Linked DNA regions of Macaca fascicularis. The protein of the gene in region 1 interacts with the protein of each later gene in a biochemical or structural test. Links are inferred from orthologs where the notes say so. Each region holds a gene or a part of one and is shown in the gene's direction. Other genes may lie near its edges.

Evidence for each region.
Region 2: of the proteins of LZTR1 (region 1) and HRAS, one has a biochemical effect on the other in vitro, tested with the Homo sapiens proteins (3 studies listed by BioGRID, with this or other methods). The link is inferred for Macaca fascicularis from reciprocal best matches to the Homo sapiens genes LZTR1 and HRAS.
Region 3: the proteins of LZTR1 (region 1) and KRAS form a complex in vitro, tested with the Homo sapiens proteins (2 studies listed by BioGRID, with this or other methods). The link is inferred for Macaca fascicularis from reciprocal best matches to the Homo sapiens genes LZTR1 and KRAS.

The regions. Positions count from the first base shown.
Region 1 is NC_088384.1:31,973,110-31,976,758, forward strand, and holds part of LZTR1 (leucine-zipper-like transcriptional regulator 1), read left to right. Parts: intron 1-719; coding exon 720-803; intron 804-1,540; coding exon 1,541-1,598; intron 1,599-2,827; coding exon 2,828-2,967; intron 2,968-3,649. UniProt on the Homo sapiens protein: Substrate-specific adapter of a BCR (BTB-CUL3-RBX1) E3 ubiquitin-protein ligase complex that mediates ubiquitination of Ras (K-Ras/KRAS, N-Ras/NRAS and H-Ras/HRAS).
Region 2 is NC_088388.1:430,367-433,376, reverse strand, and holds the end of HRAS (GTPase HRas), read left to right. Parts: intron 1-288; 5' UTR 289-338; coding exon 339-449; intron 450-732; coding exon 733-911; intron 912-1,062; coding exon 1,063-1,222; intron 1,223-1,317; exon of another isoform or gene 1,318-1,399; intron 1,400-1,920; coding exon 1,921-2,040; 3' UTR 2,041-2,045; intron 2,046-2,153; 3' UTR 2,154-2,438; downstream 2,439-3,010. UniProt on the Homo sapiens protein: Involved in the activation of Ras protein signal transduction. Ras proteins bind GDP/GTP and possess intrinsic GTPase activity.
Region 3 is NC_088385.1:27,937,440-27,941,088, reverse strand, and holds part of KRAS (GTPase KRas), read left to right. Parts: intron 1-3,184; coding exon 3,185-3,300; coding exon of another isoform or gene 3,301-3,304; exon of another isoform or gene 3,305-3,308; intron 3,309-3,649. UniProt on the Homo sapiens protein: Ras proteins bind GDP/GTP and possess intrinsic GTPase activity. Plays an important role in the regulation of cell proliferation.

The DNA.
Region 1 (3,649 bases):
GGGAAGATCACTTGAGCCCAGGAGTTCAAGGCTACAGTGAACCATGCATGCCTCACTGCACTCCAGCCTGGAAGATGGAGCAAGACCTTGTCACAAACAAATTTTTTAAAAAGACCCAATGGGCTGGGCGCGGTGGCTCAAGCCTGTAATCCCAGCACTTTGGGAGGCCGAGACGGGTGGATCACGAGGTCAGGAGATGGAGACCATCCTGGCTAACACGGTGAAACCCCGTCTCTACTAAAAAATACAAAAAATTAGCCGGGCGAGGTGGCGGGCGCCTGTAGTCCCAGCTACTCGGGAGGCTGAGGCAGGAGAATGGCGTAAACCCGGGAGGCGGAGCTTGCAGTGAGCTGAGATCCGGCCACTGCACTCCAGCCTGGGTGACAGAGCGAGACTCCGTCTCAAAAAAACAAAAAAGACCCAATGTACTGCTGATGGCGCTTCTGGGGTCCTGCTTTTTGAGTACCCCCTTTGATATTTTGGTGGCACCTGGGAGAAGGTTCTGTGCCTCTGTGGCTGTCTGAATTCCTCTTCAAGCCTCCAGTCGGCCTCTGAGGCTGTTGCTTATTCCTAGTGCCTTGTGGAGGCCCTGAAGCCCCAGCGTCGGGCGGATGTGGCCATGCAGCCTGGCTGTGGCCCCTGCACTGACCGTATGGGACTGCGAGGCTCAGGTCTGTGCTGGGCGGCCTCACTCCCTCCCCTCTTCCCTCACACTTCAGGTTGCCAGTCGCTAGGTCGGCCCACGGGGCCACGGTGTACAGTGACAAGCTGTGGATCTTTGCTGGCTATGACGGCAATGCCAGGTGGGTGGTGGTCCGGCCTTTGCACCCCACCTCCGACTGCACAGAGACCGGAGGAGGCCATCCTGGCATTTGAGGGCTTAGGCTGGAAGAGCTCTGCCTAGTAGATTTTGAGTGTCACTGTCCAGGGGTTTCTTGGGAGGGGGACAGGGAAAGAGGAGGATGGGCAGATGGAGGTGAGGACCACTGGGTGGAGCCCCATGGCTACCTCAGTTGCTCGGGTGAGGATCCTCAGCCAGGAGTCGCCGTGCAGGGCTGAGTCGGTGGGCGGATGGGCGGTGCCCAGGCTCAGGCCCAGCCCTGGTTCTTGCCCAGGCCAAAGGCCTTTTCCTCCTTATTTTAGAAAGTTGGCTTTGCTCTCTTTTTGTGATTACAAAAGTAGCATGTGCTGGTTTCCCAAAACTTCAGCATCATAGAAACTCCTAACAATGCAGTGATGATGGTGGTGTCTGTGATATCTGTGTCCTCTCCCTACCCAGGAGGGACACAGCTGGCCTGCCACACTGCCCCAATGTCATGCATGAGAGTACTTGTTCTGTCTGGGCCGGGCAGGGGGCCCAGCATGGCAGGGATTTGAGGCAGTGCCTGCCACCCCACACAGAAGTTCCCGCCTCCTGGCCGCACAAGTCCCCTACCCTGTGTGGGGGTGGGGGTCCTCCCTTCAGCCATCCCTTCCAGCCAGGACTGGCCCACCCTGACAGCCAGACCCAAGGGGTCCTCACTGGTCTGTCCTAATACAGGTTGAATGACATGTGGACAATTGGCCTCCAGGACCGAGAGCTCACCTGCTGGGAGGAGGTGAGGGGCACCGGGAGCCAGGGTGCAGGTGGAGGAGGTGAGGGGCGCAGGGAGCCAGGGTGCAGGTGGAGGAGGTGAGGGGCGCAGGGAGCCAGGGTGCAGGTGGAGGAGGTGAGGGGCGCAGGGAGCCAGGGTGCAGGTGGAGGAGGTGAGGGGCGCAGGGAGCCAGGGTGCAGGTGGAGGAGGTGAGGGGCGCAGGGAGCCAGGGTGCAGGTGGAGGAGGTGAGGGGCGCACGGAGCCAGGGTGCAGGTGGAGGAGGTGAGGGGCGCAGGGAGCCAGGGTGCAGGTGGAGGAGGTGAGGGGCGCAGGGAGCCAGGGTGCAGGTGGAGGAGGTGAGGGGCGCAGGGAGCCAGGGTGCAGGTGGAGGAGGTGAGGGGCGCAGGGAGCCAGGGTGCAGGTGGAGGAGGTGAGGGGCGCAGGGAGCCAGGGTGCAGGTGGAGGAGGTGAGGGGCGCAGGGAGCCAGGGTGCAGGTGGAGGAGGTGAGGGGCGCAGGGAGCCAGGGTGCAGGTGGAGGAGGTGAGGGGCGCAGGGAGCCAGGGTGCAGGTGGAGGAGGTGAGGGGCGCAGGGAGCCAGGGTGCAGGTGGAGGAGGTGAGGGGCGCAGGGAGCCAGGGTGCAGGTGGAGGGAGGTGGGAGGCAGGCAGAGCCAGGCTGGGGGTCGAGGCTGCTTTCTTCCCCTTGCAAAGCCCAGCCTTGACCTGAGCCTCGCTCTCCTCCCTGGTGACCCGCAGGCCTTCATGACCAGTTCCTCACTGTGGCTGCGCAGTGATTCGAGCCTTGGTGTTTTAGATGGGCAGAGCGCCATGTGTGTGAGGGATGTGGTTTTGCTTTAATCCACCCTTTATTTCAATGCAGTGAGGGCAGTCTGCTATCTAGTGTTCTGCTCCCTGAAACTCCCCCTGGGATTGCTTTCCCCTTTAGAAACATGGAATTTATTTATTTATTCATTAAAAAAAATTTTTTTTTTCTCAGTCTTCTGGGCATGAAAAACATATGGGTTTAGCCGCTGCTGATTTAACCCTGACGATTTTAGCCCTAGCTGTTCACAACTGGGCCCCCTGAAGTGGAGGAGACAGGGCTATGTGCTGCTCGAAGACAAATGAATCTGTGAACCCTCATCTGGGGAAGTTTCAAGAATAAAAGCAGTCCCATCTCAGCAGTCTTGAGCGTGGTGAAATGTGAGTGGGCCCTGGGAGGCCAGGGCTGAGCTGTTCTCTCCCCCATGCAGGTGGCCCAGAGTGGCGAGATCCCCCCGTCTTGCTGCAACTTTCCCGTGGCCGTGTGCCGGGACAAGATGTTTGTGTTCTCCGGGCAAAGCGGAGCCAAGATAACCAACAACCTCTTCCAGTTTGAATTCAAGGACAAGACGTGAGTACTCTGGCCAGTGGGGTGGAGGGAAGATAGTCAGCGCCCCCGAATCCTTGAATGTGAAGGACGCCCCCTGCACCTGGTGGCCATAGTAACCATCCTTCTGAGCTCTGCAAACAGCAGGAGGTTCCAGCCTGGAGCAGGGATGTGCAGGTCCCCAGGATATGGCTACAGTTTAGCAAGATAGGGCCTGGCAAAGAGGCCCCTGACTAGGCCTCCCTCTGACTATGAAGGACATCCCCTTCCCCGTGAATGGCTTGGTCAGTGCCACCAGTAACAAACGTGCCCTGCATAGATCTCAAATGATGGCAGAAGACCAGAGGGGCCTGCAGGTCCCCAGAGGTCTGGCCCATGCTGCCCCTGGCTGCTGGCCAGCCCTTGACCCTGCAATGAGGCTGCAGGAGAGGGCACAAGGAGTGTGAGCTGCAGGTACAGAGGGTTTGGGAAGGGACTTGGGAGCTTCCCTGGAGGCCACGGATGCGTGGGAGGATGGGCAGGGTGCCCCAGGACGAGGGAACCTGTCGAGGGCCCGGGGCTTAGCAAGGAGCCAGATGGCATAGCCCTGCCAGGCCAGGATCTGTTCTGAAGTCTTCAACTAACTTAGCAAAAGAGGGGACTTGCTGGGAGGTACTGGGAAGCCTGGGAGGTGGAAGGTGCTGGAGCAGCATCAGGATGTAGGGTG
Region 2 (3,010 bases), on another chromosome or scaffold:
TAGTCTTTCTGCCGACCCAGCAGCTTCTAATTTGGTTGAGAGCGCTCAGCTGTCAGCCCTGCCTTTGGAGGCTGGCTCCCTTTTCCCCTCACTGGGTCCTTAACAGCAAGTGGGGGCGAGGCGACAGCCCTCCCCCGCGCTGGTTTGCAGCTGCACAGGTAGGCACGCTGCAGTCCTTGCTGCCTGGCGTTGGGACCCAGGGCCCGCTATGGGTTTGCTCTTCAGATGGCTCTGCCAGCAGCTGCCCTGTGGGGCCTGGGCCTGGCTGAGCAGGACCATCCTTGGCAGGTGGGGCAGGAGACCCTGTAGGACCCCGGGCCGCAGGCCCCTGAGGAGCAATGACGGAATATAAGCTCGTGGTGGTGGGCGCCGGCGGTGTGGGCAAGAGTGCGCTGACCATCCAGCTGATCCAGAACCACTTCGTGGACGAATACGACCCCACGATAGAGGTGAGCCTGGCGCCGCCGTCCAGGTCCCGGCAGCTGCTGTGGGCGAGCCCAGGACACAGCCAGGATAGGGGTGGCTGCGGCCCCTGGCCCTGCATGGTGCTCTGGGCCTGTCTCCTGCTTCCTCCAGAGAAGGGGAGCCCCTCGTCTCAGCACCCCAGGAGAGGGGGCATGAGAGGGGCATGAGGGGGCATGAGAGGGGCATGAGAGGTACAGGGAGAGGCTGGCATTGTGAACTCCCCGCATGGAGGGTCCTGAGGGGTCCCTGAGCTCTGTCCTCCTGCAGGACTCCTACCGGAAACAGGTGGTCATTGATGGGGAGACGTGCCTGTTGGACATCCTGGACACAGCCGGCCAAGAGGAGTACAGCGCCATGCGGGACCAGTACATGCGCACGGGGGAAGGCTTCCTGTGTGTGTTTGCCATCAACAACACCAAGTCCTTTGAGGACATCCACCAGTACAGGTGAACCCCTTGAGGCTGGCCCGGGAGCCCATGAGGCACAAGTGGGGTCAGGCCGGCTGTGCCCAGACAGGGGCCTCCTGTCCTCTCTGTGCATGTCCTGGATGCAGTCGTGCCTGCAGCCCCTATAGCCAGCTCTCACTTTTCCTCCCAGGGAGCAGATCAAGCGGGTGAAGGACTCAGACGACGTGCCCATGGTGCTGGTGGGGAACAAGTGTGACCTGGCTGCACGCACCGTGGAGTCTCGGCAGGCTCAGGACCTCGCCCGAAGCTATGGTATCCCCTACATTGAGACCTCGGCCAAGACGCGACAGGTGAGGCAGCTCTCCAGCCCACAGCTAGCCAGGGACTCGCCCCGCCCCGCCCCAGCCAGGGAGCAGCACTCACTCACCCCTCTCCCTTGACACAGGGCAGCCGCTCTGGCTCTGGCTCCAGCTCCGGGACCCTCTGGGACCCCCCGGGACCCATGTGACCCAGCGGCCCCTCGCGCTGTAAGTCTCCCGGGACGGCAGGGCAGTGAGGGAGGCAAGGGCCGGGGTCTGGGCTCACGCCCTGCAGTCCTGGGCCGACACAGCTCCGGGGAAGGCGGAGGTCCTTGGGGAGAGCTGCCCTGAGCCAGGCCGGAGCGGTGACCCTGGGGCCCAGCCCCTCTTGTCCCCAGAGTGTCCCACGGGCACCTGTTGGTTCTGAGTCTTAGTGAGGCTGCTGGGGACACTGGCCATAGCTCAGATGAGAGCTGGGTGCAGGGTGGTCAAACCCTGGCCAGATCTGGAGTTCAGGAGGGTCCTGGGCCACCCTGACCTTTGAGGGGCTGCTGTAGCGTGGTGCAGGTGGCCCTGGGCTCTTCGAGATGACCAGAGCCCAGCTTCCTGTGTGTGTGGTGGGCCTGGGGAAGTGGCTGGTGGAGTCGGGAGCCTTGGGCCAGGCACGGCTTGATCGCACAGCAGGGAACCCCTCACCTAGGCAGGGGGCCACAGGCCTGTCCCTCCTGATCCCATTTCTCCTTTTCCAGGGAGTAGAGGATGCCTTTTACACATTGGTGCGTGAGATTCGGCAGCATAAGCTGCGGAAGCTGAACCCTCCTGATGAGAGTGGCCCCGGCTGCATGAGCTGCAAGTGTGTGCTCTCCTGACGCAGGTGAGGGGGCTCCCAGGGCGGCCGCCACGCCCACCGGATGACCCCGGGCTCCCCACCCCTGCCGGTCTCCTCGCCTGCGATCAGCAGCCTCTTTTGTGCCCCGCCCAGCACAAGCTCAGGACATGGAGGTGCCGGATGCAGGGAGGAGGTGCAGACGGAAGGAAGGAGGAGGAAGGACGGACGGAAGCAAGGAAGGAAGGAAGGGCTGCTGGAGCCCAGCCACCCAGGGACCATGGGCCGAAGTGACCGCAGACCCTCCCAGGGATGCTTTGCACAGACTGTCTTGAGCATCCCAGATGCTACCAGAACCCCAGCCCTTAGCTCCCCTCCCAGGCCTCTGTGGGCCCTTGTCAGGCGCAGATGGGATCGCAGTAAATTATTGGATGGTCTTGACCTTGGATTTTGGCTGAGGGTGGGACACGGTGCACGTGTGGCCTGGCGTGAGGTATGTCGGAACCTCGGGCCTGTCCAGCCTTGGGCTCTCCACAGCCTTTGGGAGGGGGAGGTTGGGAGAGGCTGGTCAGGGGTCTGGGCTGTGCTGCTGTCTCCTCCTGCCTGCCCCAGAGTGTCCATGGATTCCGGCAGAGAGCTCTGGACAAGCAGGCAGATCATAAGGAGAGCTTACTGCGCTGCTACCAACTAGGAGGGCATCACGGTTCTCCAGAGGGAGGTGATTTCAGGGGTTGGGGATCTGTGCCGGCGGCTCTGGTCTCTACCTGGGAGCCGCCTTGGCAGTGAGAGGCGTCGCTTTTCCTGACTTTTTCCCATGGTGAAATGCACCTGCCAAGAATGGCAGACATAGGGACTCTGCCTCCTGGGCCTTCACATACCCAGTTTTCTTCATCTCTCTGGCCTGGAGCAGTCTGTGGACCTTGGAATTAGGGCTCCAGCACCGACTGGCCTCAGGCCTCTGCCTTATTGGTGGTCGGGTGGCGGCCACTAGGGCGTGGGAGCCTGGCCATCCC
Region 3 (3,649 bases), on another chromosome or scaffold:
TCATAGGTATATACTGTATGCATTTTAAAAAATAAGAGCCAGTGCCAGTGGTTTACAGTGTACACAAGGATAATGTTCTCATGTTCTCTTGATGTCAGTATGACTTTAAAGCATATTATGAAGAAATAACTAAGTCTGAAAAACTGTGGTAAATAACTGATACTCTAAAACCTAAATTTCTCATTACTAAAAATAAGAAATGGAAGAAGTCACCCTGTGCTGTTAATTATATGAACCACTGAGGTCCTGACACTGAATTCTTGGTTGTGGATAATAATCTCTTCTTTTTAATTATTGGCTTCCAATTCTCTCTCTGCATTGCTGGAAACAAAAATCATGTATTTCACTATTGGTGGTGGGGATGCTGACGCTGCAAAAGTAGACACATTCAAACTGATTTTAGAAATAAGTTAAAATCAAAATTTGCTTCTGCTAAATTAGTAGAGGACCAATACTGTTTTTCTCCTTCATAGTATGTTTTGGTTCTTCTACATTGACCTTATAACTTTTTTTTTTTTAAACAGGAATAGAAGTTAACATTCTTAGAAAATTTATGAAAATATGAGCTTTTACCTGGTTTGTGTGTGTATATGTATATACGTATTTTTAATTTTTTTACATTGATTTTCAAATTGAAAGAGAATCATTTGTGAAAATATCTTACAGAGCTCATGCTTTACATTTTACATGCTACAAAGTTATTTCAGTGCCTTTATGTCGCTTATTAATGAAAATTTTGGATACATAATATTTTGAAGACAAAGGTAAAAATAATAAACCCTTTCCTTTTGAGGGTTAATGATAAATATAAACTGTAAAACGATTAAAAAAATTTTTTTTAGAGACAGCATCTTGTTCTGTTGCTCAGACTGAAGTGCAATGGTTCAGTCATAGCTCACTGAAGCCTCAAACTCCCGGGCCCAAGCAACCCTCCTGCCTCAGCCTTTTGAGTAGCTGGGACTTCAGGCTCATGCCAACATGCCTAATTTATTAGTAGAGATGAGGTCTCAAACTCCTGGCATCTCTTGCCCTCTCAAAATGCTGGTACTAAAGCATGAGTCACCACACCTGACACTTAAAATCTTTAATATACAGGTGTAAGTAGGTATCTAATTTAAAGTGCCAACAAAGGTAGTTGAAAATTTGTATTTATACTTGGCTTAGCGAACTAGTTGACTAAATTGATTCCATTAAAAATAAGAATGTTCTTAGAATATAATGATTTTCATTATTAAATAGAAATATATCACTGGATGGTATATGTTAATGACTTGAGATACGCATTTTAATATATAATCACGTTACTTAAATGCCTGCTTTTTGAACTGAAACTTAACATTATGAATTTTAAATTAAAGTTTGACTTTAGAGGTAAATTTCTGTACTTTACTAAAGCAGTTCTTAATACGCTTCTGAGATTTCTAAAAATTAGTATGCCTTAAAGAATTGAGGTGTGTAACTACTGCCGGCAGCAGATGTACAGATGACTTCTGTGTGCAAAAATTAAGCCCTGGCCATTGGTTGACTTCAGCTAATACTTAGTTGCCAATTATCTGTGTGTGATTGAGTTTAAAACTACAGATGGTACTTGTGATATATTAACTTTTTAGGTGCTAGGTCCACTTTGTTACATTTGGTTCAGTAGAAACATTGATGTTACGGATCTCAGAAAGTTAAAATATGTATGCCAATCCCCAAATTAGGTAATTCATTCTTAATTTTAAGATAAAAGAATAGAATTCCCTTAAAATTAAATGTGGAGTAAAATATACCAGCTTCAAAAAATATTTACCTACCTTTTAGAATAATAAACACAATATTACATCTTTTAATTTGCACTACATATAGATTAATATTTCTGTGCATTTCTCTGTGCTCCTACTTTGATGGTATGCTTTTCTGAACAAACTAGCAGCACAATTAAGGAAGTCCTTTTCCCCTTTGATGACTGCCTAATTTTCTAGATTGGAAAGGATTAAAAACTTTTATCTCCATATGGCCAGTATATGATTGTGCCTGTTGTCATAGCTTTCTTATCATAGGCTTAAGCAGGAAAAACTCTATTAAAAGTATTTAAATTAGAATAGAAGGTACAAAGCCAGTATGATTGAACACTGTTCTAAAAATTATTTTTAAGACTTGTAGTAAGGCCAGGTTTGGTGGCTCATGGCTGTAATCCCAGCCCTTTGGAAGCCAAGGTGGGCGGATCACTTGAGCTCAGGAGTTTGAGACCAGCCCCGGCAACATGGCAAAACCCTGTCTCTACAAAAAATACAAAAATCAGTCGGGTGTGGTAGTGCTTGCCTGTAGTCCCAGCTATTTGAGAGGCTGAGGCAGGAGGATCACCTAGCCTGGGAGGTCGAGGCTGCAGTCATGATCGTGCCATTGCACTCCATCCTGGCAACACAGTGAGACCCTGTCTCTAAAACAAAACAAAATAAATAACAACAAAAAAAGAGCTTGTAGTAACGATACAAAATGCTCCTATTTTGTGTGTGTCCTTTAATTCATGATGTTTTTATATTATGGTAAGCAGCTCTCATTTAAGATTTTAATTTAATAATGTAGTTAAACATGTACAGAAGACCCAGTCTCAGCTTTACTTGTAGACCCTGGAAATAGATTGGAAGGTGTTAAAATTTAAAATAAAACTCAAGATTCCAGTTTCTTGACTCATCTTTATTTTGATATTCTTTTATGTTTTTGTTGTTTTTTTAACAAAGGTTGCACGTCCATATTTTACCATTTTTCTTCTCATTCTCCCCTGGGGGAAGGTGTGGGAATCAGTAGTACATAAATCACCTTTTCCCTAAGTCAAAGAAGTAATTTAAAGCTAACTTCAGTTTAGTCTTTAATTCCAAGACTAGCAAACTAAAATGGTTGCATTAATTGACAAACAGATGCTAATAAATGTGTTTAGGCTTGTCATAATCTCTCCTAATTCCTAATTTAAAAATTTTTACATTTAATTCCATTAGAAAACAAAACTGACTTTTAAGAACAAACCAGGATTCTAGCCCATATTTTAAAACTGCATCCTCAGTTTTATTCAAACAGTCTGATGTCTGTTTAAAAAAAAAAAAAATCTCAAGCTCATAATCTCAAACTTCTTGCACATGGCTGTCCCAGTAAATTACTCTTACCAATGAAACAGACTTTAAAGAAGTTGTGTTTTACAATGCAGAGAGTGGAGGATGCTTTTTATACATTGGTGAGAGAGATCCGACAATACAGATTGAAAAAAATCAGCAAAGAAGAAAAGACTCCTGGCTGTGTGAAAATTAAAAAATGCATTATAATGTAATCTGGTAAGTTTAAGTTCAGCACATTAATTTTGGCAGAAAGCAGATATCTTTTAAAGGTAACAAGGTGGCAACCACTTTAGAACTACTTAGGTGTACTATTCTAACTTGAAGTATTAAAAGATAAGAAACTTGTTTCCATACTTAGTACATTTATTTTTAATCTAGTGGGAATTATAATTGAGACAATTTTGATGGCTGTAGTAGACTAATCTATATTTGGCATAAAGTCTAATGATTTAATGAGTCTTAAGTAAACTAAGTATTTGGGAACTGATATTTACCTTTATTTTTAAGGGAAATCATACTCAAGTTTTGAGATAATAAGCAGCTTTTTTTTGTTGTTG